6 linked regions of the Macaca mulatta genome follow. The protein of the gene in region 3 interacts with the protein of the main gene of each other region in a pairwise test. Links are inferred from orthologs where the notes say so. Each region holds a gene or a part of one and is shown on either strand. Other genes may lie near its edges. The genes, in order: LARP6, WAS, ITSN2, SYNJ2, KHDRBS1 and SOS1.

Region 1 (5,121 bases), on a different chromosome or scaffold from region 3:
AAGGAGCAAGTAAAATAAGACCATGAACACATTACCAGACTAATCAAAAATGTGAGACATTCAACAAGATATCTGGCCTCTTCTGTCCAAAATAGCAAAGCATTAGGGGAAAAAATGGTGGAAATTTCTAGATAAACAGATTCTAGAGACATAAGAAGCAAATGCCTCAACCCAGACCATATTCTGGTTTGAGGGGAAAAAATAAACAGCTGTAAAAGACAATTGTGGAACAATCTGGGGAATCCTGAATGTGGAACTTGGCGATTAGCTTATCTTCAGGATTATATTAGGGAATGATAGGTAATTTTCTCAGTTGCAATAATAGTGTTAGGGCTTTATAGGGAATGTCATTATTAGGAGTTACAAAATGAAGTATTTAAGGTATAATCTTGTGTAAAACATATCTCAAATGGTTCGGGGGAAAACACATACATTATATATCCATTCACTAAATATGGCAAAATATTAAGTGTTAAATCTAGATGATGGGTCTATGAATTCTCATAGTACTGGTTTTTCATATTTTCTTTATGTTTGAAAATATGTATGTTAAAAAGGTGAGAATAAAAGGAAAGGCATCTTTTTAATGAATGAGATGTGGGGAGATGATCCATGAACATTTTAGAGGTTGTAAAGGCTTTTCTTTATTGTTCGTTTATTCTCTGTTCCCTTATATAAGCCAGGTATTAGGCTAGGTATGGAAATACGAAAAGGAGTAAGATAAGGCAGCTGCTTTCAAGGATCTCACTGTCTAGGGGAGGGGAAACACACATATCTCAACACCATGGAGTGAGTGTGATGACAGAGATATGCATTTGGTCAACAAATATGTCCTATGTGCTGGGTGCTGTGTTAGGTGCTGAAGATACAATGAAGGAAGCAAGCATGGTCCTTGAATTCACCGAGCTCCTATCCCTGTGAGGGAGACACAATGATAGAATCACAATTGTGGAAGGTGCTAGGCATAAAATGTACAGAGTACTACAGCAACAGAGAAGAAAGGAAACACAGCCAGCTCTGGGGTGGGGATTGGGGGTGGGTGGAGAAGAGGCGGCAAAGTTTTAAAGGCTGACTAGAAATCAGTCAATCAGAGGACCTAGAGGTGGGGGTGCAGAGACATGTAGACACAAAATAGCCCCCTGTGCTCAGGCAACTAGATGGAATTGCGGGAGCAGGGAAGGAAGCAATGGGCTGAGGAGATGATGTGAGTGGGTGTCGCATCTTAATGAGCAGATTGAGGAATCTGGGCTTTCTCCTGTAGGCTCCAGGAGCTGAGAACATTCACATCAGGTGATGGCTGCTGCCATGCAAGGCTGGGCCCAAACAGGGGATAGTGTGAATCCTGTTCTTGGCTACATCTCCTCGTGCTTTGGGTGCCTGCCCACTGGGCTCTGTCGGCTCCCTGAAGAACCCCAGGGATTTTCTGGGGTCAACTCTATGCCAGTGGGCAGCAGGAAGGGCTTCAGACTGAACACTTGCTGAGACTCAAGCCATGGGAGCTGGGAATTCTGGAGGAAGAGCAAGAGGGGTTCAGGCAAGAGGCCCACCCATACTGAAGCTTGGTTTCTCCTAGACTTCCATAGGGGATCTTTCCAGGCCTTAAACATAAGTAGAGCTTTAATCCTGACTAATGATACAATCTCACAAATTTAGCCCTCAGGATAGGGATGGCTATTTGCCACTGCCGCAGGAAAATAAAGTTATAAGGATAAACTACTCGGGGCTATTTTACGTACTCGGATATTATCTAACTAGGTGACTGCCTTCTCAAGACTGTGAGCTGTCAGTGACTATGGGTTCATCATTTTTACGCTCTCGGTACTTAGCACAGAGCTAAATGAATCAGGCCTTGCATTATAAAGCCACAGATCTATCTACCGCGTCATATGCTATGGTCCAGCTTTCCTGCCCTACCCTGGTGGGCTGACTTTTCTCCCCTAATAACTGTCTCTACTGGTCTGCCCCGAATCTCGGGGTCCAGAAATCTGACCCTTTAACCTGGGGAAGGGTCAGCCAGTAATAGAGAATGGCTCTGGGCCCAGTATTCATCCACCCTTAAGTTGAGGATTCTCCCAATGAAGTAGATATATGCCTGCCAGGACAATCCTGCAGAACGTTAACAGCTAAACGCCTGGGAAAGGGTCCTAGAAGAAAGAAAGCTCCTAACAAGTGCCTGTTGGCATCCCCCAGAATGTGCAAGTTCTGTCATTTTCCCACTCTCATGTCTATGTCTATGTTGTATCTCCTTTCAACAGCAGGAACAAAACCCCAGTCCTTAAGGGTCTGGGCATTAGTGGACAGGAGCCAAGGTGCCTGCGGACAAAGCTCAGGACCCGGGACAAGGTTAGACAGGTGCCATAGCAGCTCCAAACTACCCAAAACCCAGGAACCCACCTACCCAAGACAGCAAGATGATGATGCAAACATAAAGGTCGGGTGGGAAAGGCTGTGTGAAAATGGGAATCCCCCCAGAGCGGGAGGATGTAAAGCAGCAAGTCCTGTATCTGTCTCAAATTACCATGAAATCCCATCTCCTGGAATCCCCCATCAGCAAGTGTCCGCTGTACCTGGCCTGCCACCACCTAAAGACTGAGCGCATCCAGCGGGACTGGGAAAGGCAGGGCGATGCTGGCAGTGAAGGGTAAGTGGGACCACTCGCAAGGAGAGGGGAAGGCGGGCAGGGATGCACTTTGCAGGGATGTGGGGGTGGTGTCTTGAGGGAGCCCACAGAGAAGAGGCCTCCTCCAGAGGAGCGGGTGGCTTGGATGGCCCGTGAAAGTCCTCCTGGATCCCTGAACATCCCCACGTCCGGGCCCCTCAGATCCCGGCCGCCAGCCCTGGGAACCTCGGTGGGGCGACGAAGCTGCGGACTGGGGCACCGGCTGCCTCCACGGGCCGGTTCTGACTCAGGGGCTCGGCCCGGAGCTGCTTCATCCGCAGCGGGGCTGACTCAACCCCCTCTGCCCACTGAGTTGTCGCGCGCAGTCAGCGCCCCGAACTCGCGCGCGGCCTGGCGCCCCCTCGGGGCCCACCTCCCTGGCCGGCCGCCGCGCCTACCTGTGCCCGCGGCTCGGCTCCTCCTCGCTGGCGCTGCCCCAGCCGGGGCTGAGGTACCGGGCCGGGTCCCCGGCGCCCCGCGTCTCCGCCCCCTCCTCCTCGTCCTCCAACTCGTCCACGTCCTCGGCCTCCTGGATGGCGACGCGGATCTGCACCGCCGTCTCAGGCCCGGGCCGAGCCTCCCCGCCAGACTGGGCCATGGCTCGCGGGACTGCGGCGCTGCCGGGGTCCTCACGCCGCGAGGCCCAGCCAGCCGGTCGGCAGCGACTGCAACAAGGGGGCGGGGGCGGTGCGAGCGCGCCCGCCGCTCGGCCCGGGGGAGGAACAGGGGTCGCGGCGCCCCGCCCCGCGCCGCCGCCGCCGCCGCCACCACCACTACCACCCCGACCGCTAGCTGAGCGCCCGCGCAGGCGGGGCCTCGGAGGTGGAGGGCGGCTTTCCGGAGCTCCTCCCGCGGAGGCCTGTCCCGGAAGGATCCCCGCGACCCCCGATCCCTCCCTCCGTCCTCTCGCCGCTGTGGGGCCCTAGCCGGAGAAGAGGCGTCAGGGCTCCCTCCTCCTGCGCCTACTTTCACGGCGCTGCAAGGATGGGCACAGCACAGCTGACTTCTGTTTGTGCTTGACTCCGGGGGTGGCAGGCGCAGACCACAGCTCCAGGGGCTTCCAGGCCTCCTGCGTGTCTTCCCCACTGACGTGCCAAGATGAGAAAATCTCCATCGTTAGTCTCTTTGACATAATAACCACTCTAGATCGTGTCTTAGATCAGGGGCTTGGCTCCTGCCATGCCCTGTATCAGTTTTTCTCCAAGTGTGGTTCCCAGATCAGGAGCATCAGCTGTACCTGGGAACTTGTTAGAAATTGAATTCTTAGGGCTCATCCAGACCTCCTGAATCAGAATCTATGATTCAGAACTTTGTGTTTTAACAAGGCCTCTAGGTGATGCTGAAGTTCACAAAAGTTCGAAAGCCGAGGGCCTATAGAGTATGCCCTGCACATAGTATGCTCTCAGATATTTGTTGAATGAATAAAGGGAGCTATTGAAACGTCAGGATGTTCTAAAACACTGCCACCTTTACACGTGTAGCTTCAAATTGAGTTCCATCTCACCCCTCCAAATGTGACCCAGAAACTAGGGACAGGAGCGTAGAAATGAATAAGACCGGTCGGGCGCAGTGGCTCACGCCTGTAACCTCAGCATTTTGGGAGGCCGAGGCTGGCGGATCACGAGGTCAAGAGATTGAGATCATTCTAGCCAACATGGTGAAACCCCGTCTTTACTAAAAAAATACAAAAAGTAGCTGGACGTGGTGGCGTGCCCCTGTAGTCCCAGCTACTCGGGAGGCTGAGGCAGGAAAATCACTTGAACCTGGGAGGCAGAGGTTGCAGTGAGCCAAGATCGTGCCACTGCACTCCAGCCTGGGCAACAGAGCCAGACTCCAAGAAAGAAAAGAAAAGGCAAGGCAAGGCAGGGCGGGGCAGGGCAAATGAATAAGACCTGAATCTGCTTTCGTGTAGCACTTTATTTAGAGCCTTAAACATAATTTATCATATTAATTTTTCACACTGGGACCCCCAAACAACAGAACCCTGCACCAATATATTTGTTCTGATATAGGAAAGCAAGTTAGGATCGGCTCAGGAAATGAGGCCTCCTGGAGGGCAGTGTCCTTGTAAAAGAACACCGTGTATAGGGTCCTGGGTTTCTGGGCAGGGCTGGGGAGAGATCCAGGGGCCCAGCGAGGACAGTCCCTCTTCTTAAGGACACTAGAATCTGTGTCCCTTTCTTTCTCGGATCTCTCTTTTGATAGAAGAGGTCCTAAAATAAGTAAGTAAAGGAAGAGAGAGAGACCTTTGGTGCTATTGCTGTTTGTGCACCAGAACAGCTCACAGCCCTGGATCTGAGCTACTGGGAAAGGAAGAGGCAAGAGGTTGACAACATCTTTTTCCAGCCAGCTGTGCCTCCCTCCAGGGCTACAGAGGCTATAAGTCCTCTGCACAGACCTGTGATGAGGCTCAGAAGGACAGAGCTGCATCAGCCACCATGCCTTCCAGTTTGATAATTTCG
Region 2 (5,058 bases), on a different chromosome or scaffold from region 3:
AGACATGCAAACCCTACGCCCTCAGATTCCCCTCTGAGAGCCTGTGTGCCGATGTAGACTCCCGCACAGGAGATGTTGTGGGAGCGAACACTGCAGTGTTGCTCCCAACAGCAAGAACCAGAAACAGCCCAAAGGCCTGTTACAGGAAAATGTGGACACCCAGGCTGCACATGCACACCACTGAATGCTGTATGGCAGTGGAAATAAATGAACAGCTACCGCTACAGGCAAACAGGAATCATAGCAACAGCTGGGAGCGAAGGCATGGAGGGACGAGAACGTGCACTCACACCCGGCCTGCCTGGCTCGCACTCTGGGCAAAGGGATCAGAACAGTGCCTGGCACACACGTTAAGTGCTATGTGAGTGTTAAGATAAAACTAGGATGTCCAGTGGGGAGAAAGCAAGCCTTTGAAGATTATGTGCTTTTACAAACTTCAAGTGCAATGAAAATTAAACAAGATGTTGTTCAGGCATTCATATATGATATAAAGTTCCTTTTTTTTTTTTAAAGGGATGTGCTGGGCACGGTGGCTTATGCCTGTAATCCCAGCACTTTGGGAGGCCAAGGAGGGCGGATCATGAGGTCAAGAAATCGAGACCATCCTGGCCAACATGGTGAAACCCTGTCTCTACTAAAACTACAAAAAAGTTAGCTGGGCGTGGTGGCGCGGGCCTGTAGTCCCAGTTACTCAGGAGGCTGAGGCAGGAGAATCACTTGAACCTGGGAGGCTGAGGTTGCAGTGAGCTGAGATCGCGCCAGTGCACTCTAGCCTGGCGACAGAGTGAGACTCCATCTCAAAAAAAAAAAAAAAAAAAAAAAAAAGATGAGCAGAAAGTAATTTGGGAGCTGCAGGGAGGCAAGGGTAAGGGATGGGGAAGTGAACCAGAGGCATATGCGTCATTGGCAGTGTCTAAGCACTCAGGATAGGCGTGGATCACAGGGGCTCACTCTGTAATTAAAAGGAAAAGGGTTTTTGTTGTTGTGTTGTTGCTGTTGTTGTTGCTGTTTTTGAGACAAGAGTCTTGCTCTGTCATCATCCAGGCTGGAGTGCAGTGGTGCAATCTCAGCTCACTGCAACCTCCGCTTCCCGGGTTCAAGCGATTCTCCTACCTCAGCCTCCTGAGCAGCTAGGACTACAGGTGCATGCCGCCATGCCTGGCTCATTTTTGTATTTTTTAGTGGAAATGGGGTTTTGCCATGTTGCCCAGACTGGTCTCGAACTCCTGACCTCAAGTGATCCGCTCGCCTTGGCCTCCCAAAGTGCTGGGATTACAGGTGTGAGCTACTGTCCCCAGCGAAAAGGAAAAGTTTTAGTGTAGTAACCCTTCAGGACTAGGGGCCTTGGGCTTCAGCCTCAGGCTACCTGGGTGCTTTAGGAAGGAGGCCACCCAGGCCCATGACTACTCCTTGCCACAGGGTGCCCTGCACACAGATGTGCTGCCAATGGCTAAGCTCTCACTGCCAGCCAGAGGGAAGAGGGTCTGAGCCAGTCAGAAGGAGATGGGCCTCAGACAGTAAGAAAGGAGGAGGAGGACCCAAGCTGATCCAAAAGATGGGTCTAAGCAGTCAAGTGGAGGAGGGTTCCAATCTGATGGTAGAGGGCCCAAGCTCGGCCTAACGAGGAGGAGGCCAGGCCCACCAAGGGGCCCCTGGAGGACTTGTTTCCCTTGTCCCTTGTGGTTTTTTGCACTTCCTGTTCCCTTGCTGCTCACTGCGGAAGTTCCTCTTCTTACCCTGCACCCAGAGCCTCGCCAGAGAAGACGAGGGCAGAAAGCACCATGAGTGGGGGCCCAATGGGAGGAAGGCCTGGGGGCCGGGGAGCACCAGCGGTTCAACAGAACATACCCTCCACCCTCCTCCAGGACCACGAGAACCAGCGACTCTTCGAGATGCTTGGACGAAAATGCTTGGTGAGCTGGGGATCTCCTGCCCCCGCCCCGTCCCCACCATTTCTTCCTCTTCCTCTCCTCCTTCTCTCTCTTCCCCTCCTCCCGCTCCTCCTTTCCCTCTCCATCATCTTCTCTCCTAGACTCTCCTGTTATCATCCACCCTCCCCAGGAAGATCTCAATGTCTACTTGCCTTCCCTCTGGCTGCAGCTCTTCCTTCGGGCCCATGACTGTCATGAGGCAGGAAGGACCAGGTCTGGCTCCAAGACCTTGTGGCTACCCCTGACCAGACTCCACTGACCCCTGCTTTCCCCTCCCAGACGCTGGCCACTGCAGTTGTTCAGCTGTACCTGGCACTGCCCCCTGGAGCTGAGCACTGGACCAAGGAGCATTGTGGGGCTGTGTGCTTCGTGAAGGATAACCCCCAGAAGTCCTACTTCATTCGCCTTTACGGCCTTCAGGTGACCCCCCCCCCGCCCCTGACTGGACTTGCAAGCCAGTTCTCAACCCGCAAACCCAGATCTGTGTCCATATGTGTCCACAGTCCCAAGACCTCAGACCTGATCAGTGAATCCCTGAGCCCCAGAACCAAAGACTCATCCAGATGGCAAACTCTGGCTTGCCTTTCTAAGTCTGCAATGGCTGGCCCCAGTCTCCATATCAAGATCTCTAAAGCCCCCAGTATTAGTCTGCTGCCTAAGCCTAATCTTTTCCACAAATTCCAATAAATGAGCACTGTATTTGTACCTGAACCTCAAATCTATTCTAAACTCAACATTTTGCATCCCAGGAATCTCTCATCAAAACTCCTGAACCCCAGATGTTTGCCAAGCTCCTAAGTCATAAATCTGTTCAACAAACCCCAAAGTTGAATATTCCATTGATCCTTGAACTCCAATTCTGTCCTTTTAAATCCACAGCACAGACCCCAGAATTCCCATATTAAAATTCCTGAACACTCAAATACCGAGGTGGTTCTTAAGCAAAAAGTCTTTTCCACAATTCCCCGACCTGAACTTTCTAGGTTTAAGCCCCAAATTCATCCTTCTAAACCCATAAAGATGGACCCAGCATAACTTCCAGATCCCAAGACTGTCAAATATTCACCAAACTCCTAAGTCATAACTCTTCTCCACAAACCCCAAATTGCACTTACTTTAGCTGGACCCTCCGCAAAACTCCCAAGTCTACGTGTCTGAACTTCAAATCTCATCTCCAACTCCCAAATACTAGAATCCTACCTGTCATGAATTGGGGCTGGGGTGGCAGGGGAGGGCATGGATTGAATCTATGAATGAGCCTCAACTTCCTAAGACTAGAGTCCTAAATTATGAAATTCAAGCTCCCAAGTCCCACATCTAGGGCCCCGAACCCCAAATCCAAACCTCTCACAAAAGTGTATGGCTCCCAGACTATACTCCACATCCACACCCTTAGATCTCAGCTCTCTGGTGCTGAGCTGGAAATCTCCAAACCAGACCATGAGGCCCCCAAATCCAGACACCCTGCTCCCTGCCCAGCTAACAAAGGCCTGCCACCCCTGGTGTGCCTCAGTGCCACTGTGCCTCCCACCCTACACCTCTCCAGGCTGGTCGGCTGCTCTGGGAACAGGAGCTGTACTCACAGCTTGTCTACTCCACCCCCACCCCCTTCTTCCACACCTTCGCTGGAGATGTAAGTGACCAACCAGCCCTCGGGCCTCACTTGGGGTGTGGAGAGGAGATGGGAAAGCTGTGGGGGGACCTGGGAGGCGGCTGACCCCAAGATATGTGCAGGACTGCCAAGCGGGGCTGAACTTTGCAGACGAGGGCGAGGCCCAGGCCTTCCGGGCCCTGGTGCAGGAGAAGATACAAAAAAGGAATCAGAGGCAAAGTGGAGGTGAGGAGGCCGCAGGGGAGGAAAGGAAGTTGGGCAGAGGTGAGTGCAAGCATGGGGAACTAGAAAAGTTATCTCTCATGGTCCTGGCTCCCAATCCATCTGTCTATCCACAGACAGACGCCAGCTACTCCCACCACCACCACCAGCCAATGAAGGTGAGAACTCTAGTGCAAGTAGCGGTAATAAGGGGCTAGCCCAGGAACCTGTGGCAGGGTTGTGATAGCTCTCTACACATTCTATCTTCCCAGAGAGAAGAGGAGGGCTTCCACCCCTGCCCCCGCACCCAGGTGGAGACCAAGGAGGTGCGTGCTGATTCTTCCCTGTGTCTCTGGATGGATGGGTGGGTAGGTGGAAGAGTGAATGGAGGAATGAGCAGTTGGATGGGTGCGTAAGTGGGTGAATGTATGGGTAGATGGATGGGTATGTGGATGGACGAGCGGGTGCATGGATGTGTGGATCGATGGATGGGTGGATGGATTGGTGGTAGATGGCTGAGTGGAGGGATGAGTTGATGGGAGGATAAAACTCTAAGTAGATAGATGCATAGGTGAATGGGTATGTGGATAAATGAATGAAAAGGTAGATGGATGACTGAGTAAATTAGTGAATGAGTGAATGAATGAACAGTGAATAAACGGCTAAATGACAAATTTCAGTCAGTGAAGAAAGCATGATTGAATGAATACAAGAGTAAATGAAAATTTTAACAAATCCATTAGTCAATGAGCCAGTGAATGATAAAGCATGAGGGAATGAAAAAAATAAATGAATCAGTGAATGTATGAATTGTTTGCGGGATCCACCCACTTCTCCATAAACCCTACTTGAATCCTTCACCCACAACCTCCATGGCCATCCAACACACACACAGATTTCCCCCAAGGCTTCCGTTTCTTGCCCCTGTGCTTTGGTTGGTTGGTAAATGGGTCAATGGGCCAACCACCCTATTTTCCCCACAGGCCCTCCAGTGGGTCCGCTCTCCCTGGGGCTGGCGACAGTGGACATCCAGAACCCTGACATCACGAGTTCACGATACCGTGGGCTCCCAGCACCTGGACCTAGCCCAGCTGATAAGAAACGCTCAGGGAAGAAGAAGATCAGCAAAGCTGATATTGGTGCACCCAGTGGATTCAAGTGAGAACCAGTCCCCAGTGGGCCCACAGATTCCTGGGGGCAGAGGGGCACATGAACAAGTGGACAGCTGAGACGATGGAAGGAAGGGCAGATGGCTGGGTGGCTGAGTGGGTAAATGAGTGGATGGATGGGTAGGTGCAGGGCTGGGTCTAGGGA
Region 3 (5,136 bases):
TACAGGCGTGAGCCACCGTGCCCGACCTATATAACTCTTTTTTAAATTTATGAACCAAGATGACGATACCAGATAAGGCACAGGTGCTGAAGTTAAAAGGATCTTGGTTTGAAACCTGGCTATTGTACTTACTAGCTCAGAGACCTAAAGTAGTCAAACTTCAGGTTAACATTTCACTTATCTTTTTGATGGGAGGATAATAATTACTCCTAGGGCCTTAGTAAGCTTTAAATGATTATGTAAAACACTTAGCATAGAGTCTAACATGCAGTTACGTGCTCGATAAATGACAACCATGGTAAACGTATTTTATACTGAACAAAGCATAGTTGAAGGAGACAGCCAATATGTGATCCTTTTGTCTTACTAAAGATGGAAATTTGTGAAACTCTACATTAAAACTAAAAATCCTAAGGTTACATACGAAATTTCCCACTCTTTAAAAAAGATACACTAACTACATAAGGTTAGATGATTTTTTAAAATAAGAAAGAAAAAAAAAAAAGCTTCTTGAAAGCTGCTGAGTTTGGGTGACGGGTACGTGCTATTTTTGTGAAAATACAAATTTTTTAACACTATTAATCCAATCCCCAGAACATGCCTAATACACCTCCTCATATTCAGGAGAGAGCAAGATTTTAGCCTTGAGAGGTATTGAAAAATGGTACCTTCCTGCTTAATAATTCTGTACAGGTCAAGTTTTCTCGGACGAGTTTACCTTTCATTATAAAGGTGGGCACAGGGAATAGTTATCAATACATGGAAGGGAGAAAAAATGCAAGCTTTTCAACTGCTTATTAATACTACATCAAAATAGCTGCAATGAACATTTTTTCCACGTTTTCAAAAACATCAAATACATCCACTTTATTTACTTTTGTAATTACAAGAGGCTGACAGGCACGGACCAAAAAAAAGCTCAAGGTAAACACATCAGAGTTGTCAATATCTTTAAATTTTGAAGGAAGTCATTACTAATTCGTGTAAATGTTTTATGCGATGTTTCTAGGTAGCTTTTAGGTTTTACCACTGATTAACAACATAGCACACCAGCACAGGGAGAGAGGCAATTTTTCGAAATGCTTAAGAAGCTTTAACCTACAAGAGCTTATGCTACCTAAACTGAGCTAACAACGTAAAATTTCAAGTCACACCTTGCCTATTCCTGAGTAAGCAAGCAAACACTGTGAAACAAACTAGAAGCACAGAGCAAAGCAAGTCATTTCTGTGCTAACCTTAATTCCTATCATAACGGGGTTGGCTTCATCAAAACATATTCCTATTTCGGTATTAACACAAGTTTCAAATAAAGCACACTTGCCATTGGTAATTCTGGAGCGACAAAGCGCATAATTAATAAATCCAAATGGAGCATCTTTCTACAGGATGCAAAGCCATCTGCAGTTTCAGCCTCGGTTTACCCACTCACTATGCACATGCAGACGTCTTTTTAAAAAAATAAATAAATAAATAAACTTTATCTGGCCTGAGAGATTACATCTCTCGGTGCTTCCTGTATATTCTGGAAGTCAATAACGCTGAAGGTAAATTTAACATTTCCAACTCCGGAGGAACGCGAGCGGTGGACGCCAAGCATCCGCCCACTGTCCTCTCGTGACTCGGGCTACTTTGACGCACTGGGATGCGGCTCACCTGACATTCCGCACCAACCCTTGCCAGGAAGGAAAACCAACTCCGCGAAAATAAAATGGGTCCCGGAGGAGGCGTGCGGGTGCCCCCAGAGCTCTCTTCTGCTCGCACCCCGAAAGTGAGAGGGCCACGCCGCCCCCCGACCCTTGCCGGCGTCCGCCACCTGCCAGACGAGGCCGCGGTCGGGGACCCGGGCTCGGCCGCAAGGAAGGGGTAGCCCAGCCCAGGCCCCCTCGGCGTCCCCCCCGGCCGGGCGGCAGGGGAAGGAACCCGGGGCCGCAGGTTTCCGCCCGGCACGGCCGAGCCCGCCAGGGGCCTAGCTCGGGGGCCGCCCGTGCTCCCGAGGACCCGTCCCCGTCGTGCGGAGCGCGCAGCCGCCTCAGCCCGGCCGGGGGAGCCTCCCGGCAGCGGGCGCGGCGCCCGCACCTGCCCCGCGCCTTCCGGCAGCCCCGCTAGCGGCTTCACCCACCTGGCGCCCTCGCCGCGCCTCCCGCACGTCACAGCACGACTCCGCGCTCCTCAGCACCGGCAGTCTGGGCGCGGGCAGCCGCCGGGAGACCCTGCTCTGCCGCCGTCGCCGCCGCTGCAGCCGGCTTGGTCGTCAGGCCGCCGCCAGCGAACCTGTTGCGTAGCCTGTCACGGCCGCTCAGGGCTCCGCGGGCGCCGCCTCAGCCCCACAACAACATGGCGGCCGCGGCCTCCGCAGGAAGCCGGGGGGCGGGGAGGTAGGCGCCGGGCCGGGCAGCTGACGGCCCGCCCGCTGCCGGGCACCGACTCCCCACCCTCCGGAGCCCGAAACTGCCCGGGCGTGGCTCCTCACCCCCGGAGTTCCGGGGCACTGAACCCTGAAAGTCTGCTCCGAATCGGTCGGGTCCGAAGCGCTCCTCTCTGCCCTCGGGGAGGCCCCGAAGCCCCAGACCCGGCAGCCCTTCCTGGAGCTGCGGAGACCCACCTGGCTCCTCCTCTCCGAGGTGACATGTTGAGCTTGGGTGGTGCTTTTCCTGCCACGGCAGACCCCGGTGTTTTGGAAAGTCCCAAGCAGTGCCTGCCACATCCCTGTTGCACCCCGCCACGGGGCTCTCCCTGGAACCTTCTCACTCGCCGAAGTTTTCTTCACTGATGTGGGGGCACAAATTCTCTGGGAATTGGGGGGTGGAAGGTGGGAAGGAGGTCGATCCCACCCTTGCCCATGGGTCTGTTACAGGCCTCTTGAACCCTTCTCAGGGACCTGGAGGACTTAACCATACCCTCTATCATCCATTCACCATTCCTCGCCCTCCTCCATAACACACGCGGAGCGCCCACAAGGAGCATCCTCTACGCTAGTCACACAGTAGGAAGACTCTGTCCCCGTAGAGCCTAGCACGACGAAGCTAAACTTTCCTCCCCACCCCTCGCCAAGGGAAAGGCCAAGGTCAAACTCAGAATTTGTTTCTTTTCTCCCCTCCCGGTTCCTGGTCTCCTCACAAAAGACCAGGCTTCAACTCAAGTCGCCACCGTATCCCAAAGGCTTGCCCTTGACAAGAAGCTCCGTCAAGGGAAAGGCTTTCTTTTGATTTGTGTGAGGGAGGAGTTAGTGTATGAACGTAACCAAATGAACGTAACCAAATGTCGGCTGGGCCCAGTGGCTCACGCTTGTAATCCCGGCACTTTGGGAGACCGAGGCGGTTGGATCATCTGAGGTCAGGAGTTGGAGACCAGCCTGACCAACGTGGTGAAACTAAGATGCAAAATTTAGCCGGGCGTGGTGGCAGGCGCCTGCAGTCCCAGCTACTCGGGAGGCTGAGTGAGGCAGAGAATCGCTGGAACCTGAGAGGCAGTGATCTGAGGTTGCACCACTGCACGCCAGCTTGGGCAACAAGAGCAAAACTCTGTCTAAAAAAAAAAAAAAGTAACCAAATGTAAGACTCAAGATTTTTGGATATAAGACCCAAGATTTCTATTTTTTTTTTTTTTTTTTTTTCCCTGAGACAGTCTCACTCCATTGCCCAGGCTGGAGTGCAGTGGCGCGATCTGTGCGATTGATCTGTGCTCACTGCAACCTCCACCTCCCAGGTTCAAGCGATTCTTCTGCCTCAGCCTCCAAGTACCTGGGATTACAGGCACTCACTACCACACCCAGCTGTTTGTATTTTTAGTAGAGATGGGTTTCACCGTGTTGGCCAGGCTGGTCTCCAATTTCTGACCTCAGGTGATCCGCCCACCTCGTCCTCCCAAAGTGCTGGGATTACAGGTGTGAGCCACCACTCCCCGCCAAGACCCAAGATTTCTTTTGACTTTTAGAAGCAGGGTGAGGGCTGGTCCGGGGTCCATAACTCATATCCCCATGATTTGATCTGTGTAGATCAAATTACCCCATGGCATCCTTTCATTCCTTACCTGCTGAGGCAGGTGAAGGTGAAATGGCTCCAAACCCAGGCCCATCTGAACTGGCCAGCCAGCTCACAAGGAATTTACCAAACTTCGATGACGATAAACAGGCTTTTCCCGCTCTCACACTCAGTGTTTTTCCTAACTCTTCGATTAGAACCTGACCAAGACCTGACAAACAGGTCCTGAGCCTCAGTGACACAGAGAGGCCTAACTCTTGTATCAGTCTAGGAGGCCCCTCACTTGCTGGGGACCAGCCAATCTGTCCCCATCTACAAACAAACTACCCAGGCCAAGGATAGCAGTCTTGAGCACATGGCCTCATTCGCATTGCACACTTCACCGGTAACTGATGTGCCCTTTTGGAGCCCATGTTTGAGAGTCAAAGCACCAGAATCCTTCACAACATAGTGCTCCAGAGAGTTGGCCTGAGAGGTAAAACCTATTTTTTATTCCTGTAAGGCACATAGCTTGTCTTCATTTTTCTCCCGTCCTTTGACCAATGTCATTTGTGTTTTGGGGTTCTAGACCTGGTGCAATTCACCTTGAGTCCTCTTTCCTTCTAAAGGAGGTACCAAATCCTCGGCAGGACAAAAATGGAATTTGTAGAAACAGATGCTTATAAAGAAATTTTTAAAAAAATTTAAAGCCTCCCTACCAAAAAGCTAACAACCTCTGGTGGAAATCAGGGTCCTGAATGCATGCCTACAGTATCCCAAGCACTAAAATAACTGTATCCCAGGGTTCCCGTCAGAACTTTGAGGCCAGTTTGTCCATCCTGTTCTACTCTATCACAGTCCAAAATACAAGCACCTCTAGTTATCTATCTTCTCTCTCACACATACCTCCCACCCTGTGTAATTCGGGGATAAATTTGGGCAATATTAAGCATTTGGTGATTCGATATTAAGCATTTGGTGATTGGATTTGGTGATTGAATATTAAGCATTTGGTGCTGGAGTGCAATGGTGCGATCTTGGCTCACTGCAACCTCCGCCTCCCAGGATCAAGCGATTCTCCTGTCTCATCCTCCTGAGTAGCTGGGATTACAGGCTCCCACCACCATGCCCAGCTAATTTTTTGTATTTTTAGTAGAGACAAGGGCTGGTCAGGCTG
Region 4 (5,080 bases), on a different chromosome or scaffold from region 3:
CTCCGTCTCAAAAAAAAAAGAAAAAAAAAAGAAAAAAAAATCACTTTCTCCAAGAAAGGAAAGTAAAACAGCTAGCTAGCCCTTTGGAATACAGATGGGAATTTCAAGTTCAGAGCCATTTTATCCAATAGTGATACATTTAGGATATGTTGAAAGTTTGAAACAACTTTCTAGTAACAGAAGGCTCTCTCCTACAAACCCTCTCTGGACCAGCAAAGCCACCAAATGCTACAGCTGCTTTTTAAAAATAGTTTCATTTCACTTAAATAAAACAGACTTTAAAAAATTAAGGGCCGGGTGCGGTGGCTCACGCCTGTAATCCCAGCGCTTTGGGAGGCCGAGGCGGGCGGATCACAAGGTCGGGAGATCGAGACCACGGTGAAACCCCGTCTCTACTAAAAATACAAAAAATTAGCCGGGCGCGGTTGTGGGCGCCTGTAGTCCCAGCTACTCGGGAGGCTGAGGCAGGAGAATGGCGTGAACCCGGGAGGCGGAGCTTGCAGTGAGCCGAGATCGCGCCACTGCACTCCAGCCTGGGCGACAGAGCGAGACTCCGTCTCAAAAAAAAAAAAAAAAAAAAAATTAAGTTTTCAGCCCAGACACAGTAAGTAGTTCATGCCTGTAATCCCAAAACTTTGGGAGACCGAGGCGGGAAGATCACCTGAACCCAGGAGTTCAAGACCAGCATGGACAACATAGTGAGACGCCATTAAAAAAAGAAAGAAAGAAAAGAAAGAAAGAGAAAGAAAAAAATCAGCCAGGCATGGTGGCACGTGCCTGTAGTTCCAGCTACACAGCAGGCTGAGGCGGGAAGATTGCTTGAGCCTGGGAAGTTGAGGCTGCAGTGGGCTGTGATTGTGCCATTGCATGCCAGCCTAGGCAAAAGAAGAAGCCTCTGTTTCAAAAAGAAAAGATTTTTTTAAGTTTTTTCTACTGAAAAATGAATGCTAGGTTAAATGACAAATGTGGACTGCACATGAGTTGAAGACGAGCCAATTCCTTTCTTACATTCTCTGTTCTAAAATCTGGTATACTGTAATCACCAACGTGATGTAAATCTCAGCCCAAACTCCAGCTCCTAATGGAAAATATGCACTACATTGCTGTCATTAATCATTTTTAAATCTTCACTTTTGAAAAAATAAAATTTTTCTAAGCTGCTTCAAATAATTCTTGAATGTGTATGAACCTGACTTAATGTTGCTGTAATCCAACTGAAGGACATTTTTTTTTTTTTTTTGACGCGGAGTCTTGCTCTGTGCCCCAGGCTGGAGTGCAGTGGCGCGATCTCGGCTCACTGCAAGCTCCGCCTCCCGGGTTCACGCCATTCTCCTGCCTCAGCCTCCCGAGTAGCTGGGACTACAGGCGCCCGCCACCTCGCCCGGCTAATTTTCTTGTAATTTTTAGTAGAGACGGGGTTTCACCGTGTTAGCCAGGATGGTCTCGATCTCCTGACCTCATGATCCGCCCGTCTCGGCCTCCCAAAGTGCTGGGATTACAGGCTTGAGCCACCGTGCCCGGCCAGGACATTTTAATCTATTTGATGAAACAGTAGTTTTGTACCGTGAAATTAATCTTTTGCTTCTGATAAATGTGGTATGAAGTAGACATCTAAAATGGAATGAAAATTTCTGTGGTTTTCTTTTAAGGCCATACCAAATGACCAAACTTAGACTCTTCGGGACAGCACACATTGGAATAACCTGAAAATAACTTAATCTACAATTCGCTGCCCACTTTTGATGCTGAGAATACTGGAGACATTGGTTCAGTAATCAAGTGACTGAGAACAAACTGGATAAATGCATGTTAATTAAATGATTAGGGAATCAGAAATAGGAGAGTCCTTCCAAGACTACATCTAAACTAGAGTCGACACAAGCAAATGTGAAAACAAGGTTAGAGGCATCTAATCTATGAAGCATCCTACAAGTGACTGCCTGCTGCATTTGCCGACCACCTCAAGCACAAGTGACCCTGGGCTGCACCTTGTTTAGCTAGGAATACCGGGAAGCTGTTACAGCTGGACGCCTACTGGTGGGAGCCTACTCTCCGGTGTCCACATTTACAAGTCTAACAATCAGACCTGGTTTCACGTGCTTTGCTGCTACCCAGGCTTTCCTTATAATGGTGAGCACAAAACAAGGGATCCAGGTTACTGATACCAGGAAGCCATGTATTGAATGACATTACAGAAACAGCCACATAAAAGTCAGGTGGATGATGTCACCTTGGCAAGCAACTTTCTTAGCCTCTTCGGGCCTCAGTTTGCTCATCTGCAAAATGGGGATAATAATAACTCTTTAGTAGAATTGTCAGAATGAAGTGAGATAATGTCCTAAAGCCCATAGCACAGTGCCAGTTTCAAGGCTTCTGAAGTCCATAGGTGAAATTCGCTGGCTTGGCAGGATCTAAGACAGCATAAAGGTAGGGTCATGGTATATTTGCTTACAAGTTCTATAAATTGCACTACGGATGCTTCTTGACCAAGTATTCACGTGAGACAAAGGTGCCATCAGCAGTTTCTCCAGAACCTTTTTGGGGCTTTGGTCCCCATCCCCTCCAGGAGTGGAGCCGCCAACACAAACCAAAGGGCAATCACTGGTTTCATCGACAGGTGCAAAAGAAAAGGCGCCTGGCACAGGGTCAGGCCGGCTCCTCAGTCAACCCCAGGGGATCCTCATGAATACGCAAAGCGCCCCAGCCGGCTCTCCAGCAAACACATCCTCCGGCCGCGCGGGCCGGAGATCCCCGTGGAGGGGAGGCCAGCCTCCGTGCACCACCCGCCCAGCCCGAGCGCTCTCTAGAGTCCCCAGTGCCACTTCATTCAAAAGGCCACCCCTCTGCGCGCGACCCCTACGCCCCGGCAGTCCCCGCGCCGCCCGATTCCCTCGGGAAGTGGGGTACCCGTCTTCCCAAGGCTGGGCGAAGGCGGGCGCCCTCTCCTCCGGGCGTCGCTGCCCCCGGGCCGGACTCACCCAGCGTGGCCACTGTGCCGGCCTCGAACAGCAGGCAGTCGCCGCGGCCGCGCGCCTCCAGCAGCACGCTGCAGTCCCCCGCGGCCCCCAGGCGCCCCAGCAGCCGCAGCCCTTTGCTCAGGGCCATGAGGGGTCGGGCCCGCTGCGGGCGGAGGCCGGGGCCACGTCCCCCCGAGGGCGCGCTGCCCGCTACAGCTCCCCGCGCGCCCGCAACTTCCCAGAGTTTCACTTTGCGCCGCCGCTCCCGCCGCGCCAGGCTCCTCCCCGGCCTCCTCCCGGCCTCCTCCCCTTCCTCCTCCTCCACACACCCGCCTCCCCGGCCTGGGGCAGGTGAGGGCGCACCGCCGCCTCCCGCCGGCCCCGCGCTCCCCCCAGCGGCCAGGCAGCTGCGCGAGGCCGCGCCCCGGGGCCGAGGCTTCCCGTGGGCGGGCGTGGAGCGGAAGGGCCTCCCAGATGCCACGCATTCCTCGCCGCGGAGGAGGATGACCCGCGCGGGGCGCCCCCGAGAGCCGGGCCGCGATGCTGGCCGCCCGCAGCCTTATATGGGCAGCCCGGCCTGGGAGCCCGCCAGGCTGGACCCGCTGACTGCTCCCGCCGGGGGCGCTCCGCCTCCCTGTGTGGTCGGCTCCTGCGACCCTGGACGAGTCCTTTCGACCTTGCGTGCCTCGGTCTCCCTGCAGTGAAGCGGGGTTATAACTGCGGCTACTTCGGCGAGGAAAACTGAGTTAATTCGCGGAGACGCTTAGCGGGTGCGGAGCGCGTGGAGCGGGCTGGAGAAAGGTTACTTTTCACTAGCGTTCTATTGCGGAGACTGTTGCGGTCACTGTCCCCGCCAGGGAGAGGTGTTGGGGGTCAACGGTGCGTTGTCGCGAAGAAACCTGGAGCCGTGATCCCCAGACCACGACCCCCACTTACCACGTGACTCTGACTTCTCTGAGCGCCACCTTCCTCTCCTGTCAGATGGTGACAGCGCCTCTCCCACTGGCCCTGGACACCAGCACGTGTCCGCGCGTGTACGCTGGAGTGTGGCCTCGCAGCCCAGTCACCTGTGGCCCGGCCTTCTGGCGCCGGGTTCTAGCGCCGAGGCTCAGCCTGTCAGAGCTGCAGGGGAGGTGGAGTGGGGATGGGTGTTTAGGGCTGAGTTGGAATCACCCTTTGGGGTGGTTTGGCGGCTTAATTGGCTTAATTCCCTTCTCTTGTGATGGGTACATGGGTACGTGGGGATCGTGGAGAAGCCTCCATCAGCTGTTTCCATCCCGCCGGCAGACGAACTCAGTTCCGCTCTCACCCTATTCTGCTGCACTGGGCCAAGCTGTTTGTCTCTGGGACTTGTCCTAGGAAAGGCAGAGCCCCCAGAGCCAAGCAGAACATTGCCATGCCCCTGCAGACATTCAGTAATGACCAGACAAGGGGACAACCTCTCAGGGGATGATTGGGTAATAAATTTGAGCAACCCCAGCAGAGATCATCTTGACCCTCAGCCCCTTTCCTTGCCCACACACTTGGCCCAGGTCAAGCATGATGTGCTCAATATCCCAGGCATGATGCTCATCAGCTGTCGCAGCAGCTTCTTTCTGTGTAAATGGAAATATTACTACCTCATGAAAACAGTATGCCCATTCAGTGAGGCATATGAGCCTGTGACCCACTTTTTGACCCCAAATTCACTTCTTCCTGGAAGCCTTCCTGGAATGCTGAGGTCCCAGATAATAGTGCTTATATAACACCCAGATTATATATAATATATATATGTATATATATATATTGCTTGAGAAGTGTTTTTATATCTTTTCTCTTAGCCCTGTTTTGCAAATTAAGTGGTAAGGCCTTAGGGAGGGGACCCAGTCTTCCATTTATTTCTCTCTCCTCTTTCCTAACTAGCATCACATAGTCTAAAATCCTGCACAGTGGCATACCATACCTATTTTAGAAATTTTCCTGCAGTCAGGACCAGCACTTGAGCTTCACAGCTTATAGAATCCAAGTCACCATCAACTGTAAAATGAACCACTATTTTATATACCACTGAGAAGAAAGAAAGAAAAAAAGCTTTCAATTAAACTAGAACATGCCACTGATAGTCATCTCTGCCCTGATATAGA
Region 5 (4,394 bases), on a different chromosome or scaffold from region 3:
TAGCTGTGTGCCAAGCATTTGTTTTTAAATCTCAGGTAGAGCTGTTAATCACCACGAGCTCTGCTTATCTGCTTATATGGTCTAGGGAGTGCTAGGGGAAGAAAGAAGTCAGGACAGAGAGAAGAAAAGCTCATGTAAATCTCATTAGCTAGAACAACACACTTCAGCCCTAACTATATGCGTCTAGTAAGAAATGACCTGAGAAAACAAACACGTGTCCATTAGGCTACATAAAAGGAGGATTGAAAGAATAGGTTTTCGGACTGTAGCAGGCATATCTCATCAAATAAAGTGACCCCAGAAGGCTAAGACCATTCTGTTTTGGTGAGAAGTTTCTTGTCACAGAGTACACAGTATATGCGGCTATGGCATGGGAAAAGACTCATTAGATTCTGTAGTCAGGATTACTCATGGCTCCTTTTGGAATACATTCTTTTAGTAAGCCTCACATTCCAGCCGGCTATAAAACAAACCAACTAATCCTCAAACTCTTCTGCTCTCACAACACTATTGTTCTCACTTTTCCAGGTTACAAAAAAGGGGGTGTGCTGTTTGCCTTTTAGTGTCTTTTGTCTGCTTTAGACTAAGTTTTAGTATATCCAGCTCCCCTTTCAAGTTTTCCCAGACAATCCTACCAATGCACAAGATGCTACTGCTCTGTCCATTACTATGCAGTCAAAAGTCCAAAAGAAAACTATCACCAGGGCACACCTAGGCTCTTCCAGGGTTGCCAAGCAAGTAAATTAACTTGGTGTATAATCTCTTGCACCCAATGCACACTTAAAGGAGCCACATTCTGTACATACACAATATTCTTGCCTCTATAAGGCATCTATACTGCATTCTGGGCAAGTAGAAGGCATTAGGATGTCCTCTTGCCTCACTAATGTGAGCTTACCTTGGCTTTGTCTCTCATTGAGCCCTTTCCCAACACAGAGATCTTTGCACCAGTCTCTTCCTGCAGTCTTTTGATTGTATTCCCTTGTGGTCCAAGAATCTTCCCCACAAAATTGAACTGACAGAAAATAAAGGATTTCTAAATATACATGCTACTATATAAAAACATCTCCACATAAATTACCTCATTTGATTTTAAACAACCCTGCAAAGGTAGAGTATTACCATTCCCGTTTTACTGAAGGACGCTGAAGCCATATTAATAAAGTGATTAGTTTAAGATTATGAAACTAGAAAGTGGCAGTTCCTAGACCTGAATTTGGCTTTTCTGATGTATTCTGGCCATCTTCCATAATACACTAAGACCTTTACTATTTTATTTTTTACTTTATTTTGAGACAGGCTCTCACTTTGTTGCCCAGGCCAAAGTGTAGTGACATGATCATGGCTCACCGCAGCCTCGACTTCCTGGGCTCAAGTGATCCTCCCGCCTCAGCCTCTGGAGTAGCCGGGACTATAGGTGCACATCACCATATCAGGCTAATTTTTGTATTTTTTGTAGAGATACGGTTTTGCTATGTTGCTTAGGCTGGTCTTGAATTCCTGGGCTCAAGTAATCTGCCTGCATTGGCCTCCCAAAGTGCTGGCATTACAGGCATGAGCCACTGTGCCTGTTTATGCATGCCTTAACATACATAAACATTGTTAACGCAGTGACCTCAGAGCAGAAGAGACTATATAGCACCCTTTGATAGCACGCTGGATAAACTAAATGTAACTAATTGCTTTCCTAAAAAAAGAAAAAAAAAAAAAGGAAGAAAAAAAGCATTTACTTAAAAGTAAACTTTTAGTAAGAAAATAAAATTAACTTCATCCAATTGAGGATTTGTATTATATTTCCTTTTATTTAGATTTCAGGTTAGTCTTTTGACAGAGAGCAACTCTTCAGGTTTTATTTTTTTTTTTTCTTTGAACTTGTAGCCTGAGCAGTCATTAGAGAAAGAAACTTTTTGATAATAAAAAGATTATTACATTTCCTTCCTGGCTATAACTATGTTTAGTTAAGAACTTAGATATTTCAATTGCCAGAAACAGGTACTGCAAGCATGAAAGAGAAGCTTCACAGGCTTAAGTTTCTAAAGCATCACAATCCCCAGGAGTCCATGACTCTCTCGTAACTATAAAGATAACTCAAAGATGCAAGGCACTTTTTGCCTTACCTTGGGATACTGCTTGACAGGTATCAGCACTCGCTCTTTCAGTTTCATGTTCTTATGAGAAAATAAATCCAAGTAATTCTCTTCATCGTCCTTTTTTGAGTCTCCTTTCTGAATCTTCTCAATTTCTGAACAGGAAAAACAATTTAAATTTTTGCTCTGGTAAATAAAAGCAAATTTTGAAGTCTGCTTAAAGCAATAACATGAAGTACCATATAGTGAGACCAAATAGTACACATGAATGTGCCAATTTCAGAAATAAACTAGCTGAAAGTACTAAAGTTATATGAAGTTGATTAGAAAGCCCAAAGCCTGCTTCTAATAAAAGTAGTGTGCTCTTCTAACCTCACCTGAAGCCTCACGTGAGAATAGAGACATTTAAATGTTTCTTAAATCGATTTAACAAAATTAATTGGGTGAGATGGGGAAAGGAGAATAAAGAAACAAACAAAAAATTAAAATCTGCATCAAGACAAAATATAATCTTACCTTGAAAAAAGCAAAAATCAATAATCTAAATATACAATGGATAGTTCCATTAAAGTTCCACAGTGACATTAGTACTCTAGATACTAGTCCTTAAGAGTCTGAAAGACCTTGTTCTTACTCTGCTACTCACTAGTTGTGTGACGTAAGAGAAGTTAATAAAATATGTAGATATGCCTAATTAAAGGCAATTTTTCATAAAGTACTTAATATATTGTCACCATTATCTAGCCCAAATTCAGCCAATGTCTAAACGATACAAAATGCACCAGGTACTTTTTTGAGACGGAGTTTCACTCCTGTTGCCCAGGCTGGAGTGCAATGGTGCAATCTTGGCTCACCGTAACCTCTGCCTCCTGGGTTCAAGCGATTCTCCTGCCTCAGCCTTCCAAGTAGCAGGGATTACAGGCATGTGCCACCATGCCCAGCTAATTTTGTATTTTTAGTAGAGACGGGGTTTCTCCATGTTGGTCAGGCTGGTCTTGAACTCCCGACCTCAGGTGATCCACCTGCCTCAGCCTCCCAAAGTGCTGGGATTACAGGCATGAGCCACCGCGCCCGGCCCAGCCACAAGGTACTTTCTAAAAAAACATTTTATTGAAGTATAACTGATATGTAAAAACCCATACATAATTAATGTATACAATTCATGATGAGTTTGGAGATAAGTATACACCCATGAAACTATCACCACCATTATGGCCACAGACATATCCATCATCACCCAAAAGTACTTTCAATTCACAGGTTAAGACAGTTTCATTAGATAGAAACTTGGCATACAAAAAGATTTCCTACTGGCCGGGCGCGGTGGCTCAAGCCTGTAATCCCAGCACTTTGGGAGGCTGAGACGGGCGGATCACAAGGTCAGGAGATGGAGACCATCCTGACTAACACGGTGAAACCCCGTCTCTACTAAAAAATACAAAAAACTAGCCGGGCGAGGTGGCGGGCGCCTGTAGTCCCAGCTACTCGGGAGGCTGAGGCAGGAGAATGGCGGGAACCCGGGAGGCGGAGCTTGCAGTGAGCTGAGATCCGGCCACAGCACTCCAGCCTGGGTGACAGAGCAAGACTCCGTCTCAAACAAACAAAAAACAAAACAAAAACAAAAAAAAAAGATTTCCTACCATTAAGGAACTTCATTCATTGAGTGACTGCAAGTGTTTGAGTGCTTCCTACGGTATGGAGAGGCAGATGAAGGGAGAGCTATAATAGGTACAATCATTAATCACTATGGAGGACTTACTAAGAGCCAGGCATCTGTCTTGCAAAGCACAGGAGATACAACAGAGCGAGTCAGACTGGTCTCTGTCTTCACTGTTTATATACTGGAGTTCCCAGACTATAGGGGTGGCAATGAAGTATAGTTAAGTGCTATAACAGGAGTTCTAACAGAGATGAGGGAAAAGTGCCCAAGGAATGAGCAGCAACTGAAAGCTTATATGATTCACTGAGAATAGTTAAAATACATATACTCCCTAAAATCAGTGGAACATTCTAAATATCAGAAAATACTCTGTAATAGAATATCACATAATATTCCCATGTTCTAGAATTTTAAGACTAGGGTTCCCAAACTTCTTCATGCATCAGAATCACCTAGAAGAGGGCTTATTAAACTAGACTGCTGGGCCTCAAACCCAGTCTGGGATTTGTGTTAGGAATTTGCAATTCCAACAAGTTCCCAGGTAATTCTGATACTGCTGGTGCAGGGACCATACTTTGAAAATCATTGGCTTAAAGTATAAACATACCCTACCTCAAACACGTTCTGCAAATGTATATACCCTTAAC
Region 6 (4,394 bases), about 15 Mb from region 3:
TAGTAGACAAAAGGTTTCACCATGTTGGCCAGGCTGGTCTCGAACTCCTGACCTTGGGTGATCCACCTGCCTTGGCCTCCCAAAGTGCTGGGATTACAAGAGTGAGCCACAACGCCCGGCCTTTAAAAACTGTTTTTAAAAACTATTTTTATGGAAATACCTGTGTACTTTTAGTGTTGCTTTATAGTAGCATTTTGCTTTGGGCAAGGTTGAAACTCCTCCATAATATCTTTTCCAGCATTTATAAACATTATTAATAAATTAGGGTGACAAAGTAGACATTTAAGTAATGATATCTGTTATAAATCAGTTCAAAGAGGGTACAGTAATCAATGCAATTCCTACATCTTTTTTTTTTTGGTCTAAAGGAGGAGAGGAAAAAAACCTACCACAAAAGGGTCCTAGGAAATAAACAAAATAGATTCTAATACTGTAATTTTCAGAAATATGATTTTTAGTGGGAGATCTATAAATTTAGCTCATTTTCTCATTTAGCTATTAAAAAATGAATAATTTAGTTTAAGATTCTAAATAGTCCCCATTTAAAATCAGAAGGACATTTTTGAGATAATTATATCAATGTAGTATGATAAACTAAAAAAGACTATAATGGCTATAAGTTCACAATAAAGCAGTAGCCAACATTTATTGAGCCCTTACTTTGTGCTAGGTAATGTACATACATTGACTTTCAAACCTCAAAACAGCCCCAGGAGTACGTACTATCAGTAGCCCCATTTTACTCTTGAGGAAAATAAGGGGCAGAAGGATAAAGTTACACAAGGAGGTTAAAGTTGCCCAGGGTCAGCAATTAGTAAAGCCAGGATTTGAACCTAGCCTTACCAACTAGGGGTGACCACAGAAAGACAGAAGGTGTAAATTCAGCTGGAGGGACCAAGGGAGTGAAAGAACAGGAAGTGCCTGCCTGGCCTCATTACTAGACACTTCATGTACGATTTCAGTTAAGTCTTAGGACAACCCTGTAAGGCAGAAATCAGTATTTCATTTTAAAAATTCACTCTTTTGAAATGATTTTTCAGCTTGAATGTTAAAGTACATACCGGTATAGATCTGATTCAAGTAAAGTGAGTTGTCGAGCAATTTCTATTGGGTGTAAGGTGAGCAGGTCGAAAGTCTCTATGTGCCCAGGTCTGCTTATATGCCACTCAACTGTGGGAGGTGAACTCTGAAATGTAATATTATGACCTGGTCCATTGTCTCTTGCAATTTTTTTCCTTTGGATTATTTTAGTGATGGATTCAACCCATTTTTTCATTGCTTTACCTGCAATACATTATATTTTAAATAACATTTAAATATTCTTTATTTAATATTTTTAAAATGGTTTAAAATCACACAGATGATACCTGAACGTATCTTTGCTATAAAAAGTTCAAATGATCAAAATGAAAAATACAAGTTCCCTTTTTCCATTTCCCGGCCCCCATCCTAATCTTACTACTCTTCTCCACATGGGTAACCACTGTTAGTAGCCTGGCACGTGTTCTTCCAGATCCTTTCCAAATAAAATTAGAAAGTACTTAATTTGTAGAGACTGTCCACCCCATTGTTCTGATCTTCAGTTTAATGTATTATTTTATAATCCTCCAAAAGGTATATCTTATGTAAATCACAAGATTTATAAGGATAGATTATACACACTATTAATCTAATTCACATTGCATTTTATAAACCAATAAATATCAGTGCCAGAGGACTGATTCCTTCATTTTTAGTGTGAGTTTTGATGTGGCTCTGTTTTGTATTGTACATTTAAAGTACTATTATTTAACTATTTTCTGATTATCATTTAGAGCATACAAAGGAAATAAAAATAAGTTTGTCTAAGACATCCTTAGAGCTATACACTCATATAATCTTTAAAACTAGAAGGAAAACCTTGGAGATCAACAAACCTAGCTCCTCATGTTATTGATAAGAAAACTGAAGTCTAAAGAATCTAAGTGATTTTGCCCAAAGTCACATATCTGATCAGTGGTAGTGTTAGACACAAACTCTCAATTTAATCCACTCTGCTTCCTCTCTGATTCTCTCTATTCACCTGTGGCCCACTCGACCTCCATCAGTGGTGTTATAATGGCACAACGTAATTCCCAAACGCCCTCATACTTTGGGATATGTATGAAGACTTGGCTTAACCAACTCTTAAAATAATCAGTAAGTTGATTCAGTAAATGAAAATACATTGGATCAACAGGGTGACTGTTGAGCAATTTGCAGGTCTAAATGTTGTTTGATGAAAATTTTTAACTTTTTCAAATGGTTATGCTGGTACTATTACAAACATCTCGTATTACTGAACCACAATAACATCAATTGATAGTCACCGTGTTGGTACTTTTATTACATATAAAACTAAGCACCTAAAAAAAAAAAACATACCTCTTACTGTTCCAATAAATTCTTCCATTCGTTGCAAAAGATATGCATCTCTTTCAAAATCATAGAAGTGGTGCTCTACCCAGTGCCGACATACATTTAATACTCTACAGCATTAACACAGAATTGAATTACATGGGAATCAAACATAAATGTTTATCACAATGCATGGTACAATACAAATGAAAACACAGTAACTCTTACCAAGTTATTCTTATCAGGGTGCCTAACACTTCCAAAATTCTACATTAAGACTTACACTATAATTTCTGATAACTGCTATAATTAGTAAATTTAATTTATTAATTTTATTGTCACCCCGCTCCTTGTTTGGGAAAGGTCCTTATATACTTCAACACTAAAATGAAAGTTTGATAAAGACTTATTTGCTTCATTTATTTAATGCTTACCGCAGTTGCACAGGCTGTATATATTCTTTTCTAAATCTTTTCAGTTCTGCACTCAAGGGTTGATCTCCATTCTCTATAGCTATGCGATCAGCTTCTGTTGGCTCAGGCTCTGGAATTTCAAACCTAACATAAAATAGAACAAATTAATGAAAATACTAATTATATCGAGTTATACAAATAGAAAACCACAAATGTTTCCACCTGTCAGCAAAATCAAGAGAATACTGTAAAAAATTACTAAAAATATGCATGTCAGTGTAAATAAGTGAGACTTCTATAATATTAAAGGTTAATAAAATTATTTTTAAAATTTTAAAATAAATTAGTACTTGCCAATATAGATAAAACTAACTACAAACAAAATAAAGAATACATGCAAATTCTAAAAATAAATGTGACTATAAAGTTATGGGACTGATATTCATTTTTGGTCTGTGGAATTACTCTAAATCAGGTGACATAATCACTGTTAAGGGTAATTCCAGAAAAACTGACTGCTCTTTGTTTGGATACATGAAATATTTTCCTTCCATCACAGTATTTGTTCACTGACAAGCTCCATTTTACTCAACATGAAGTATGTTTGAAAACTTACTTAGAACATCTAACTCATCAAAATTTGAATTTCTCAACTCTAAATTATAAATTTTATATAGATCGTTCTGTAAATTTGAAATTTCAAATACCGAGTTTTCACATACAAAAAATAATTTTTGTATTGAAATAATAAAAGCTAACAAAATAAATGTTCATTTAAGAGATTTTATTTATTGAAAAAGTGCTCGTGAAGTATATTTTAAAGCTCATCTAACATTTCTGAAAAACATAAGATCTTAGCTTAATCTCTTTTTTAACAAAAAATAATGAATTTAAATATTTTTTAAATGGACAGACCTTTCTATTATAAGACTCAGTAGTTCTTGAGGTTTGCAAAAGGATCTGTATGTTGTAAGAAATGTCCGAACAAAATTGGGATCTAAGAAGAAAAAGGAAAAATATCTTATTAAACTATGTGATTCAAAATGATTAAAACTATTATTTACATTTTCAAAATAGATCAAATAGTCAAGTTTAAAAGTTCCAAAATGTTTTGACAAACAGACTGGGCTTGGTAATGCACTGCTAGCTTAGTGCCTCCTAAATTAGTGGTGAAAACATTGATATTAAAACTTTACATCAACTTATTTCTTGCCCTCTGCACACTGACAAGATGATCTTAAAGTCATCGGCCATAGGAATGAGCAAGAAAGAAAAGCAAAGGTAAAGCAGGGAACCAGGCTCCCCTCCCACCTGCTACCAGGATCTCAAAGCATCACCAGTTGGTTTATCTCCCTTATAAAGAGAAAGGCCACAGCAATAACCCATTACTTTTCCTTTCATCAAGATTAGTTTATCTAGGATTACTTGTCTAGCTTTCTTTAAATCATGTTAACAGAGCATACAACTGGAAACTGGAATTTATAAAGTAGTAGCTTAAGTTAAATACAGTTTTTAAATTATTTGCTAAAAATCTCACAACTGCTTAAAGATGCTTACAAATACTTATAAGCTATTAAAACTATTAAATGTGATAGAATATGTTGG

What was found.
Region 1: the proteins of ITSN2 (region 3) and LARP6 interact in a two-hybrid assay, tested with the Homo sapiens proteins (2 studies listed by BioGRID, with this or other methods). The link is inferred for Macaca mulatta from reciprocal best matches to the Homo sapiens genes ITSN2 and LARP6.
Region 2: the proteins of ITSN2 (region 3) and WAS interact in a two-hybrid assay, tested with the Homo sapiens proteins (2 studies listed by BioGRID). The link is inferred for Macaca mulatta from reciprocal best matches to the Homo sapiens genes ITSN2 and WAS.
Region 4: the proteins of ITSN2 (region 3) and SYNJ2 interact in a two-hybrid assay, tested with the Homo sapiens proteins (2 studies listed by BioGRID and IntAct). The link is inferred for Macaca mulatta from reciprocal best matches to the Homo sapiens genes ITSN2 and SYNJ2.
Region 5: the proteins of ITSN2 (region 3) and KHDRBS1 interact in a two-hybrid assay, tested with the Homo sapiens proteins (2 studies listed by BioGRID and IntAct, with this or other methods). The link is inferred for Macaca mulatta from reciprocal best matches to the Homo sapiens genes ITSN2 and KHDRBS1.
Region 6: the proteins of ITSN2 (region 3) and SOS1 interact in a two-hybrid assay, tested with the Homo sapiens proteins (2 studies listed by BioGRID and IntAct). The link is inferred for Macaca mulatta from reciprocal best matches to the Homo sapiens genes ITSN2 and SOS1.

What each region holds. Positions count from the first base shown.
Region 1 is NC_133412.1:48,462,322-48,467,442, forward strand, and holds the start of LARP6 (la-related protein 6), read right to left. Parts: upstream 3,332-5,121; 5' UTR 3,258-3,331; coding exon 3,058-3,257; intron 2,988-3,057; exon of another isoform or gene 2,519-2,987; intron 916-2,518; coding exon of another isoform or gene 834-915; exon of another isoform or gene 639-833; intron 1-638. UniProt on the Homo sapiens protein: Regulates the coordinated translation of type I collagen alpha-1 and alpha-2 mRNAs, CO1A1 and CO1A2. Stabilizes mRNAs through high-affinity binding of a stem-loop structure in their 5' UTR.
Region 2 is NC_133426.1:48,758,282-48,763,339, forward strand, and holds the start of WAS (actin nucleation-promoting factor WAS), read left to right. Parts: upstream 1-1,725; 5' UTR 1,726-1,781; coding exon 1,782-1,913; intron 1,914-2,210; coding exon 2,211-2,351; intron 2,352-3,477; coding exon 3,478-3,564; intron 3,565-3,665; coding exon 3,666-3,768; intron 3,769-3,881; coding exon 3,882-3,923; intron 3,924-4,016; coding exon 4,017-4,070; intron 4,071-4,727; coding exon 4,728-4,902; intron 4,903-5,058. UniProt on the Homo sapiens protein: Effector protein for Rho-type GTPases that regulates actin filament reorganization via its interaction with the Arp2/3 complex. Important for efficient actin polymerization. Possible regulator of lymphocyte and platelet function.
Region 3 is NC_133418.1:100,660,630-100,665,765, reverse strand, and holds the start of ITSN2 (intersectin-2), read right to left. Parts: upstream 3,178-5,136; 5' UTR 2,603-3,177; intron 2,242-2,602; exon of another isoform or gene 1,654-2,241; intron 1-1,653.
Region 4 is NC_133409.1:76,850,092-76,855,171, reverse strand, and holds the start of SYNJ2 (synaptojanin-2), read right to left. Parts: upstream 3,213-5,080; 5' UTR 3,106-3,212; coding exon 2,979-3,105; intron 1-2,978. UniProt on the Homo sapiens protein: Inositol 5-phosphatase which may be involved in distinct membrane trafficking and signal transduction pathways. May mediate the inhibitory effect of Rac1 on endocytosis.
Region 5 is NC_133406.1:208,850,805-208,855,198, forward strand, and holds part of KHDRBS1 (KH domain-containing, RNA-binding, signal transduction-associated protein 1), read right to left. Parts: intron 2,243-4,394; coding exon 2,118-2,242; intron 1,016-2,117; coding exon 899-1,015; intron 1-898. UniProt on the Homo sapiens protein: Recruited and tyrosine phosphorylated by several receptor systems, for example the T-cell, leptin and insulin receptors. Once phosphorylated, functions as an adapter protein in signal transduction cascades by binding to SH2 and SH3 domain-containing proteins.
Region 6 is NC_133418.1:85,930,754-85,935,147, reverse strand, and holds part of SOS1 (son of sevenless homolog 1), read right to left. Parts: intron 3,787-4,394; coding exon 3,705-3,786; intron 2,934-3,704; coding exon 2,811-2,933; intron 2,508-2,810; coding exon 2,404-2,507; intron 1,285-2,403; coding exon 1,062-1,284; intron 1-1,061.